2 linked regions of the Saccharomyces cerevisiae S288C genome follow. Each later gene encodes a partner of the first gene's protein in a complex. Each region holds a gene or a part of one and is shown on either strand. Other genes may lie near its edges. A codon is read from its position in the direction of its gene.

What was found.
Region 2: the proteins of NOP56 (region 1) and NOP1 are in contact, whole or in part, in a crystal structure (PDB 6ZDT), measured with the Saccharomyces cerevisiae proteins. Residues at the interface, in NP_013298.1 of Saccharomyces cerevisiae: Glu10 (codon at 1,988), Glu11 (codon at 1,985), Pro12 (codon at 1,982), Lys32 (codon at 1,922), Gln35 (codon at 1,913), Glu36 (codon at 1,910), Asn39 (codon at 1,901), Phe56 (codon at 1,850), Asn65 (codon at 1,823), Ala66 (codon at 1,820), Ile69 (codon at 1,811), Ser70 (codon at 1,808), Glu71 (codon at 1,805), Ser101 (codon at 1,715), Asp102 (codon at 1,712), Leu105 (codon at 1,703), Glu122 (codon at 1,652), Gln125 (codon at 1,643), Asp126 (codon at 1,640), Arg129 (codon at 1,631), Arg132 (codon at 1,622), Leu133 (codon at 1,619), Glu148 (codon at 1,574), Gln151 (codon at 1,565), Leu152 (codon at 1,562), Leu154 (codon at 1,556), Gly155 (codon at 1,553), His156 (codon at 1,550), Tyr158 (codon at 1,544), Ser159 (codon at 1,541); in NP_010270.1 of Saccharomyces cerevisiae: Lys169 (codon at 980), Val193 (codon at 908), Tyr195 (codon at 902), His201 (codon at 884), Arg205 (codon at 872), Ile208 (codon at 863), Ser209 (codon at 860), Ala211 (codon at 854), Lys212 (codon at 851), Pro215 (codon at 842), Ile217 (codon at 836), Ile218 (codon at 833), Pro219 (codon at 830), Ile220 (codon at 827), Ile221 (codon at 824), Glu222 (codon at 821), Gln228 (codon at 803), Lys229 (codon at 800), Arg231 (codon at 794), Met232 (codon at 791), Leu233 (codon at 788), Ile234 (codon at 785), Gly235 (codon at 782), Met236 (codon at 779), Ser257 (codon at 716), His258 (codon at 713), Met259 (codon at 710), Phe260 (codon at 707), Leu261 (codon at 704), Lys262 (codon at 701).

What each region holds. Positions count from the first base shown.
Region 1 is NC_001144.5:541,677-548,111, reverse strand, and holds NOP56 (snoRNP complex protein NOP56), read right to left. Parts: upstream 2,016-6,435; coding exon 501-2,015; downstream 1-500. Other genes in the region: PBA1 (Pba1p), read left to right, coding at 1-259; rRNA-processing protein PWP1, read right to left, coding at 2,414-4,144; glycylpeptide N-tetradecanoyltransferase NMT1, read left to right, coding at 4,808-6,175. UniProt on the Saccharomyces cerevisiae protein: Required for 60S ribosomal subunit synthesis.
Region 2 is NC_001136.10:423,757-428,847, reverse strand, and holds NOP1 (rRNA methyltransferase NOP1), read right to left. Parts: upstream 1,485-5,091; coding exon 501-1,484; downstream 1-500. Other genes in the region: trans-2-enoyl-CoA reductase (NADPH) TSC13, read left to right, coding at 1,914-2,846; serine/threonine protein kinase CDC7, read right to left, coding at 3,116-4,639.

The sequences.
Region 1 (6,435 bases):
ATTTATAACGGGATTCATAGGAAGTGTGCTAACACAATTGATTGTCGGTCCCAGTAAGGGACTGAAATTTAAATGTCTTGTAGCGCCTAGTGAGGGGCCTAATGGATTTGAGAAACTTTCGTTGTCTGACATGGGTTCTTTAGTTGATTTGTGCGGTCAATGGCTTGGTTTTGAGCCTTCAAGATATTCTGAAGAATGCTATCGCTTATGGAGGTGTGATAGCGCGGCAATTGGTGCACAATCAGGCCTATATATATGAATGGCGATCACAGAATGTCAGTAATGGCGAGTGAAAGAGGCATAAGAGGGTACTTAAGCTCAAAATAACATATGACTTTTTTATTTAATAATATTTCTAAATATACAATATACAGCTTCCAAATCCTAAAGAAGAATATTAGAAGGGAATAAAAGATAATATATATATATATGAAAAACTTTAAAGGGAAGAAAAGTACACAAAAAGATGGGATATACTTTATTTCGATTCATTGTTCCTTTTAATCCTTACTTTTCTTCTTTTTATCCTTCTTTTCCTTTTTATCTTTCTTTTCCTTTTTGTCCTTCTTTTCCTTCTTTTCTTTCTTTTCCTTCTTCGATTTTTTCTCTTTCTTTTCCTTCTTTTCTTCATCATCATCTTCTAATTTTCTCTTCTTTGAGGATTCCTTTTCCTTGGTTTCTTCCACTTCTGCAGCTGGTTTATCTTTGTTATAAAGTTCCATGGCTTCTTGAATGGCTAATTCATTCTTCAAAGTTGGCTTACCAGTGTTGTAGAATTCTAATCTTTGCTCAACTTGTTTCTTTAGTACGGAACCAAAAACATTAGATGGTTCCTCAGAGTAATTGTCAATTCTAGAGGCCATAGAACATTTGTTAGCCAAGTATCTAGAAATACGACCCTTGTTCTTGGCAGAGGCCTTAGAAATAAAACCACTGTGGTAAATCAAACCGTATTTTGGAGTGTTACCTTTAGTTTTTAAAGCTCTGAACAAAGCCTTTTCAGCACCAAGAATTTGAACCGTTGAAGCTGCTTGCTTAGATAAATTAGTTAGGGAACCTGCGTGAGAAATTAATCTAGCACCAATCACTTCACCAATCAATTCTGATAAGTTTGGTGCAACAGTGTGCATTTTTTCGCATAAGTAATCGTATAATTGTCTTCTGTAATCAGCTAAGGAAGCGACTCTCTGAGCGAAAACACAAACATTTTCCATATCGGTTTCTGATATATCTTGTCCCATGGAGATACGGGCATTGTCAATGACTCTTTGTGCAATTCCCGAATCCTCATTCAAAAGAGCAGCCAAATCATGTAAGGAGTCATCGTTTAATGAAGCTTTGTCCTTGATAAAAAGAACCAACTTGGCAAAAGTGTAGTTGTCTGGTACCAATTTAGCCAGTTCGGGGAAATGCCAGCCATACCACTCTTTAACTCTCATAGCAAAAGTGTTGATATCTTTATCTAATTGATCTAATAAAGCAATAGCTTGAATGATGTGATTGTCGTTCTTTTGAACAGAGAACTTCACTTTAGCTCTGGAGTAAGCGTGACCTAAACCTAATTGGGCTCTTTCTAAGTCACCAGATTGTAGACCTTTGAATAATTTTTCGCCATGTAATCTGACACCACGAATCAAATCCTGAGCAAGTTCATTTGAAATACAATCAACATATGGAAATTCTTCCTTAATAGAAGGACCTAAGTTTTTATCGGAAATAGCCAAAGTAATGTTCTTCTTTTTCGAGGAAGCCTTTGGTAAGTTTAAATCCAAGATAGCTTTCAAACTCTCAGAGACTAAACCTTCTGATATGTCGTTAGCATTTTCAAGGGCTTCAGCAGCACCTTTGAATGGCGCGAAAGATACAAGTTCGATTAACTTTGTAAAAGCACCAAAATCATTGATTTGCTCTTGAACTTCTTTTAATCTTGAACCAATGTCATCTTGTTGCAACTTAACCTTGAAAACTGCGTAACCAGTAGGTTCTTCAAACAGTAGGTATTCAATAGGAGCCATCTTTCACTAAATACTGTTCTGCACGCTTCTTCTCCTAGAAATATACCTTCCAAAACACTTTTAATAACTACTTAAAAAACTGTAGACACTACGCAATTGCACAAAATTTTTCATTTCCCATCTCATCACTCAAAAAAATTTCACTTTGAAAAAAAAAAAAAAAGAAAATTTTCACATCGCATTCTACGAGCGTATATATGCCGGGTGATATAAAAAAGTTACACAACTGTAATTCACCACATTGTCATCATATGCTAAATTATACCGTAACAGCACATATTAATGTATTATATTGTTTTTTTCTGAGGCTCCTCTTACACTAGTATACAGTATTATCTTCTATAGATTTTTTATTTGTACTTGCAATGTACTCTGCTTTAATATTTTTCATATCCAGATTATGCCATGTCATCATGCTCATCTCCACCTTCTCTTTCTTCTTCATCTTCACCTTGATCATCAATGGTTATAACAGTATCTGGGTTATCGTTACTGGTGTATTTTCTGGCGATTCTTGAACTTTTTCCTATTTTTTGGGCTTCTTCTTTTGCTCTTGCTTGAACATTCTCTAGTTCACTTTTAAAGCTCTTACGTACAGATCTATTGGTAAAAACGTCCCATAGTTTCAAAACTTTATTGACACCACCAATGACCATGGTACCCGCTACCTCGATGTCTGGAGCGAATGACGATGTCAATACATTTCCGACATCGAAATCACGAGACAGAACCATGCTTGGGCCCTTAGTGTTCGTAGCATCATCCAAGGGGAATTTCCATAATTTGACAGTCTTTTCACCCATGGCCCCTGTACTCATCATACCAGGGATGAATTTGTTTGAACATAATGTGGAGATACCAGCATCGTGTGCCTTCAATGTCCAAACTGGTTTACGGTTTTCATTGTTTCTAATATCGAAAGAATACACATTACCAGAATCAGTACCACATAATATTATATTTTCACTGGCAAATGTAACAGTTTCTATTTCCTCACCTGCCATGGCAGACCAGTATTTACTCATTTGACTTTCGTCAGAAATTCTAACATCTGTTAAAGCTACTCGAGAATCATAACCACCGGTCAAAAGAATGGAACCATTCAACATGTGCCATTCAGATGATGAAACATTTTTGTTTGAATGAATGGAAGCTAAGGAGCGGGCTGCGTTACCTGAGTTCAAATCCCATAGTTTTACGGTATGATCTGCAGAGGTGGATGCTAAAACGGAACGGAAATATTTGTTGTGTGCCATGGATAAAACAGCATCGGTATGATGAGTAGTAATGTGTCCAGTCTTAGACTTCTTCTTCTTCTTTTTGCTTTTCAAAGACACCATTGAATTATCAAGAGGTTCACCCAGAATCATATCGGGAAAGGCCTTGTCAACACAGTCCAAGTTCCAAATTTCAATTTGTGGATCAAACGTACCAATGGCAGCATAATTGGCTGCTTCTTCGGAATTGGATCCAACCTTGTAGTCAAGCCACTCAACACATAGTGGAAAAGCAGGCAACATTAAATCATGGTGAACGTAAAGTGCAGGGTCACGAACCAATCCACGAGCAACATCTGGGTCAGCTTCATCACCTTCTTCAACGGGAATATCGCTACTGTGGAACCCAGCACCGTCATCGTAAACGTAGATATCCAAATACGAAACGTCATCTTCTGTTCTCGCAGCAAGAACTAAATTATCGGATGGGTAAACTTGTAACTCCTGCTTCTCCTCTTGACTATCCTCTTGATTAGGCAATGAAATATATGGATCTTCACCTTTTTCACCCTCATGGAATTTAACATCGCTATCATTACTTAAACCCGGGAACATGGAAACGTCTTTACCACCCTCATTATCTGCAATTTCCTCATCGTCATATTCTTCCAGGTTATATTCTTTCAAATCATCATCTATATCCAACTGATCCTTCAACTTATTAGAACTACCTGTTGCGGCGTCATCTTCAACACCTGATTCGCCTTCTGCTTCTTCCAAAGTAGCTTTAGCATCATCCAAATTCAACTGTGCTAATTGGTTAATTCTTTCCACTTCCTCATCATCCAGAACATACTTTTCAGGAAATTCCGAGGAAAACCCTCTTGGAACCCAATTAGTAGCAGAAATCATTAGTTATTTTGTTTTTTTTATTCGTCTTCTAAGTTTCCAAATAAGGAAGGCGTAATAGACTCAACTGAGGGTACACTTGCTATCGTTTACAAATTAAAACTCTTTGCTTCTTTCAAACTCATCTCAGCTCATCGAGACAAATTTTTCACTTCTTTTTTTCGAGGGCGAGAAAATTTATTACCCGACTGGATATAATATATATAGAATAATACATATGATCAACTCAAGGTAGGGCCTATGGAAAAGTTTTACAACGGACAAGGCAATTAAATTGAATTGCACGATTCTCTAATTTTTTATTCTTGCAGATTTGTTTCATGATAAATTCGCCAGTTAGAGTTCTTATTATGGGTGGGTAAGAATTCAGTTAACGTTTAAAATTCTCAATATTAATCGCAAAGTGGAAAGCAAAGCAAAGTCTCACTAGAAATTGCAGGCGGACTATGTATAATTACGTAATAGTAGTTCTTGCAACAGAGGATCCTTTCGACTCTTTTGAAAGGATACTGTCATAAAACAATAGGATAAAATAATTTCAGCCGTTGCTCATGATAAAAGTAATTCACTATAATTGAAGATGATATGTGTTGCACGCTTTTTAGAGAATGATCTGTACAATAGCTCTGGTTGTCATAGAGCTTCGGTAGTAAACGTATTTATAGAATGTCAGAAGAGGATAAAGCGAAAAAATTAGAGAATTTATTGAAGTTATTACAGTTGAATAATGACGATACTTCAAAATTCACTCAAGAACAGAAAAAAGCTATGAAAGACCACAAATTCTGGAGAACGCAACCGGTCAAAGATTTCGATGAAAAGGTGGTGGAAGAAGGCCCCATTGATAAGCCAAAGACACCGGAAGATATATCTGACAAGCCACTACCTTTATTGTCTAGCTTCGAATGGTGTAGTATTGATGTGGACAACAAAAAACAGCTTGAAGATGTTTTCGTTCTACTAAATGAAAACTACGTGGAAGACCGCGATGCAGGCTTCAGATTTAACTATACCAAAGAATTCTTCAATTGGGCTTTAAAGAGTCCAGGTTGGAAGAAGGATTGGCATATTGGTGTTCGCGTTAAAGAAACACAGAAATTAGTTGCCTTTATCTCAGCCATACCAGTAACACTTGGTGTTAGAGGTAAACAAGTGCCTAGTGTAGAAATCAATTTCTTGTGCGTTCACAAACAGCTAAGATCGAAGAGATTAACACCTGTTCTAATTAAAGAAATTACGAGACGAGTGAACAAATGTGACATCTGGCATGCATTGTACACGGCAGGTATTGTTTTGCCAGCACCTGTGAGTACGTGTCGTTATACTCATCGTCCCTTGAATTGGAAGAAACTTTATGAAGTAGATTTCACAGGGTTACCAGATGGGCACACAGAGGAGGATATGATTGCTGAGAATGCGTTACCGGCCAAAACAAAGACAGCGGGATTGAGAAAATTAAAGAAGGAAGATATTGACCAAGTTTTTGAGTTGTTCAAAAGATATCAATCCAGGTTCGAACTAATTCAAATTTTCACAAAAGAAGAATTCGAACATAATTTCATTGGTGAAGAATCGTTACCATTGGATAAACAAGTAATTTTCTCATATGTAGTCGAACAGCCCGATGGAAAAATTACAGACTTCTTCTCATTTTACTCATTGCCATTCACAATCCTAAATAACACAAAATATAAGGACCTAGGCATCGGGTACTTGTATTATTATGCCACCGATGCAGATTTCCAATTCAAAGACAGGTTTGATCCAAAAGCTACTAAGGCTTTGAAAACAAGATTGTGTGAATTGATTTATGACGCTTGTATTTTGGCCAAAAACGCTAATATGGATGTTTTTAACGCGTTGACTTCGCAAGATAATACATTGTTCTTGGATGATTTGAAGTTCGGGCCCGGTGACGGGTTCTTGAACTTCTATTTATTTAATTATAGAGCAAAGCCGATTACCGGTGGCTTGAATCCCGACAATAGTAACGACATTAAAAGGCGTAGCAATGTCGGTGTTGTTATGTTGTAGTGGCTGAAAGGACGAGGCGTATATAGTTTTCGTGTACATAGCCGACAGAATTTGACCACATTTAGTTTTTCCGCATAGTCAATTGACGAAGTGAAAAAATAATTAATCCAATGGCTGGCTTTAGAGTGTCAGCCTCCAAAATAAATCCAAAAATAGACAAAGAGAATCACTATAATTACCGCCTTGGAGTCCAAGTTGGCTTGAGAACTCGCATTTATTTTTAGCGACTGAGGTAGCTGAAAAACGCCTACTTTCTCAGA
Region 2 (5,091 bases), on another chromosome or scaffold:
ATACAGTGATGTTTCTTATGGGCAAAGCCAAAAAAAAAAAAATACGTAAGAGTGACAGATGAAGAAGTGACACTTTGAACAAAAGACTCTATCAAAATTTTTTCAGATTCAATCCAAGGATAAAGAGAAATCTATGATGTAGTGTTACAAGAATTAATGATATATGGTCATCAAACAGTGTCGAGACTGGAGAACAGCTTATCGATATTGTTCCTACCTTTAAAAAACTCGAAATATGATTATGATTTCTACTTGCTTGCTCTTAACAATTAATGACCAAAAAGTCACCACATATACTCTTTTTTTTTTATATGGCGAATACGTACAATACTTTTGTTCTCTAAAAGAATTTAGTAATATCTATTTTACAAAGTCGAGGGTTACAAAAACTTCAAATAGGAAGTGAAACTGAATGGGGGAAATATATATAAACGAAACAATTATTCTGCTAATAATTGAGCAAGCTACCAGAAACTTTTGACTAATTTCCTTTATTCAACTTATTTCTTCAAACCGCTTCTCATGTATCTACCAACGACGATACAATGGTCTCTTTCATATGGCTCTAAAGTCAATTGTTCTAATGGCTTAATACGTTCCTCACGTAACTTTTGAACTTCTCTAGCAAAAACGGTTTCCGCGTCTACAGTAGAATCAATACAGTTAGCCTTAATGGAGATAACAACACCACCTTGGTCCTTCAAGAACATATGAGAGTTCAATGCAATAATACGAGCTTGATCAGGCTGGGCAACATCTGCGAAGACACAGTCAACCATACCAATCAACATTCTGTATTTTTGTGGGTGTCTAGCATCTTCAATGATTGGGATGATATTAGGTCTCTTCTTTGCCATAGAAATCAATTCTCTGCCTGGTCTGTGAGAAAATTCTACGGCGTAGACAACACCTTCTGGACCAACAACATCTGAAACGTGAGAAACAGAAGTACCGGAAGCAGCACCTAAATATAAAACTTTCTTGCCTGGGGCAATAAATAATTCATCTAGACCACCCATAATACCGGCAGCCAACTTAGATCTGAATGGGTTCCATACACGGTATTCGACCTTGGTTGGTGGGACACCATCTTCCTTAGATGGTTCTTCAACGGAGATTCTCTTTTCACCATAAACTGATTCACCTGGGGCCATGTTCTTGGTAACTAGCAAATCTTCTTTACCTCTAGCAATGTAAACACCGGCATGTCTATGTGGTTCAATAACGACCTTGGCACCACCACGGGCACCACCAGCAGCGCCACCTCTACCACCTCTGGAGCCACCACGGGCACCACCACGAGAACCGCCTCTACCACCGAAGCCGCCTCTGGAACCACCACGGGCACCACCACGAGAACCGCCTCTACCACCGAAGCCACCTCTGGAACCACCGCGAGCACCACCACGGGAACCGCCTCTACCACCGAAGCCACCTCTGGAACCTCCACGGGAACCACCTCTGCTACCTGGTCTGAATGACATTACTGTTTTAGTTGATTTGAGTTAATTTGATCGGAGTTATTGAAAGCAATGGGCAACTTAGATTTATCCGATGAATGATATCTAATTGTTTCTCGAAGAATAACTTATATAACAGTAGTATACCGATGTAAGGAAAACTTCTTGGCTATGTAAAACTTTTTGAAAGTTAGAGGAAGAAAGTATTATACATTCAAGAGAGATGAGCTTTCCAATTTGAAAAATTTTTCAAGAAAAAGAAAAAATTTGAAAAAAAAAAAAGAAAAATATAATAAACATATCATTTTGTACGCAAAAAGTTAAGGAATTATGAAAAGGGACTAAGAGCGTGAATTTTACAGAACGGAGGACAGTAAGATTATATTCTATTTAGCTATCTAGAAACCAATTGAGCTATTTGAGAGAGATACATATTTTGAATTTAATTTGAAAATGCCTATCACCATAAAAAGCCGCTCTAAAGGGTTAAGGGACACTGAAATTGACTTATCCAAAAAGCCTACTTTAGATGATGTTTTGAAAAAAATCTCTGCTAATAACCACAATATCAGCAAGTACAGGATAAGATTAACCTACAAAAAGGAATCTAAACAAGTTCCGGTTATTTCAGAATCGTTTTTTCAAGAAGAGGCTGATGACTCAATGGAATTCTTCATCAAAGATTTGGGTCCCCAAATTTCATGGAGATTAGTCTTCTTTTGTGAGTATTTGGGTCCAGTCTTGGTTCACTCCCTTTTTTATTATCTATCTACCATTCCCACAGTTGTTGATAGATGGCACAGTGCTAGCTCCGACTATAATCCATTTTTAAACAGGGTTGCATATTTTTTAATTTTAGGACATTATGGAAAGAGATTATTTGAAACCTTATTTGTTCACCAATTCTCTTTAGCTACTATGCCAATTTTCAACCTGTTCAAAAATTGTTTCCATTACTGGGTTCTAAGCGGTCTCATTTCATTCGGTTACTTTGGCTACGGCTTCCCCTTTGGGAATGCTAAGTTATTCAAATACTATTCATATTTGAAATTGGATGACTTGAGTACATTAATTGGTCTTTTCGTGCTTTCAGAACTATGGAACTTTTATTGCCACATTAAATTGCGCCTATGGGGTGACTATCAAAAGAAGCATGGTAACGCTAAGATCCGTGTCCCATTGAATCAAGGTATTTTCAATCTTTTTGTTGCTCCCAACTATACTTTTGAAGTTTGGTCTTGGATTTGGTTTACTTTTGTGTTCAAGTTCAATTTATTTGCCGTTTTATTTTTGACTGTTTCAACAGCTCAAATGTACGCATGGGCTCAAAAGAAAAACAAAAAGTATCATACCAGAAGAGCATTCTTGATTCCATTTGTATTTTGATCCTCCTGTTTGCAACATGCCCAAATGCAAGGTAAAGAGATATTAGCTTTCACGAAGTGGCGTAGTAGCACTATTGTTTAAGTATCGTCTGCACCTGTGCCTTTTGGTATTTGGCACTATCTTAAGCGCATGCCACCAATTATGCTAAACCGTTTCACTTTAAGAAATTTTTATTTAAATCTTTCACTATGCAAATATGTAAGTACTTTTAAAATTCTCTTTCCAAAGAAAAGGAAATTATTTCAGACTAGCAGTAATTTATCACTTTGCTATTCAGATATTAGGAGAACATCCTTATCGAGCAAATCTGCCTCGCTTGAGCTGACAACGTCATCTTCGTCAGTACTCTCGCCATCCAGTAAATATGTGTTTTCATTCAATTCATTGAAAAACGGGGTTTTCAGTAAATCTTCTGCTGAACTACGCTTTTGAGGATCCATTTCGAAGCATTGTTCCAAAACCTGGAAGCACCAATAATGATCGGACCAAATTTCTTCTTGATACTTTTTCAACTCATAGGCATCAACAGCATCCATATTTGTCTTGGGGTCAGGTAATTGAGGTTCAATGGACATCCTGTCATGTAATTCTTGTTGTAGAAATCCGAATGTTTCAAAAGCAACACTGTACTCAGGGAACGTACCTATGGTACATTCTTTATTAAGCAAATCATAAACAAATTCCTTCAATCCATTAGAATATCCGTTTGGTTTATCCCAAATGAGCCCACTAGCTTCGAAACCCAATCCATGCAACGCTGCGCATTTTCTTAATTCTTTCCAACCAAAAATAGTACATAACTCTAGCAAAGAATCCGCATCATCTAAACTTTGGAACATTGGAAATCTTCTGCCCAAAAGACTTAAAAGAATAACACCTACGGACCATATATCAATCTTTGTGCTTTGAGCCCCACACTTCATTAACACTTCTGGTGCCCGAAATCCACGAGTCCCTGCTCTATTAGCCCTTTTAATTCTACGCGTTTCATTTTTAGGATAACCCTTTGTCAGATCCACCCCATTTACATTGTTTAAGTGGACGACCTTGCCATTTTGTATGGTGACCATAGGAGGTGTTTGGTTATGTGAGTTAGGAGAATATTGATTACGCATAATGCATGGACAAAATTGTTCGTGATTCCTCATTGAATATCCACCATCATGGTTTGTATTTGCATAATTGTCGTAATCGTTTTGACTAGATATCATGCTTTTATAATCCATTTGAGCCTCGGCTAGACCAAAATCAACAAGCACTCCACGCCCCAATTCCAAATTAAATAAAAAATTTGTCGGTTTGATGTCTCTATGAATAATTCCCTTCGAATGAACAAACTTCAATGCTCTTAGTAGCTCCCAAATGTACTTCTTGATTCCCTTGATTGGTAGATCCCTGTAGAAAGTTCGGAACTCCTCGTGGGGATAGTACGGTAAAACAGCAATGACTTGATCTCGCACCCTTTTTGCATCACATAGAGGGGCTACTCTCGAAGATCCCGTCATTATGTACAGCAGGTTGAGCTCATTATAAATTCTTTGCGGTGACGAGGTAACGTATATTTTCTTCAAAGCAACATAGTTCGAACCATAATTCCAAAAATGTGATGCAAATTTTTTTGTTATTTTCCCAGTGATATCTTTGGCTTTATACACTGACGAAAATGTTCCCTCACCGATCTTGTCTATGAGTTTATATTCATTTTCTATACCCGGTAGATCATGATAGAGCTGTATCATCTCTTCTTTGATTTCTGGAGGTATATCATCGATATTCTTCGTTTTGCTTGTCATTATGATTGTTCTACTTCGAAACTGCCTCTTTCCTAAGAAAATTAGATAATAGCACAATTGTTATTGAAAATTTAAGGTAGTCTGTTACTTCCCGTTACGCCTGCTGAGCGGTTTTTTTTGTTAATGGTTCTTGCATTGATTTTAGGCGGAAATGTGAAGTGCTCTTCTACTCACTAAATTGATGCCGTTCAAGAAGACGCCCCAGGGCAAAGAAGACATAATTTAAAAGCTGACCGGGGACAAATGTTTAAGATTTATGTAGGCCTAAGGCGTTTATCGAGCTAAACGGGAAGTAATTTTACTCTATAAAATGTCATCTACACAAGCATTGCCCCATTAGATTCTTAATTATCTTCAAAACCAGGGCTACACCTTAATTTCCCAAGCTAAAAACATGCTTATATAGAGGTTTAAAAAAAAAGCGTCGTTCGTTGATAAAGTTTACGAACGTA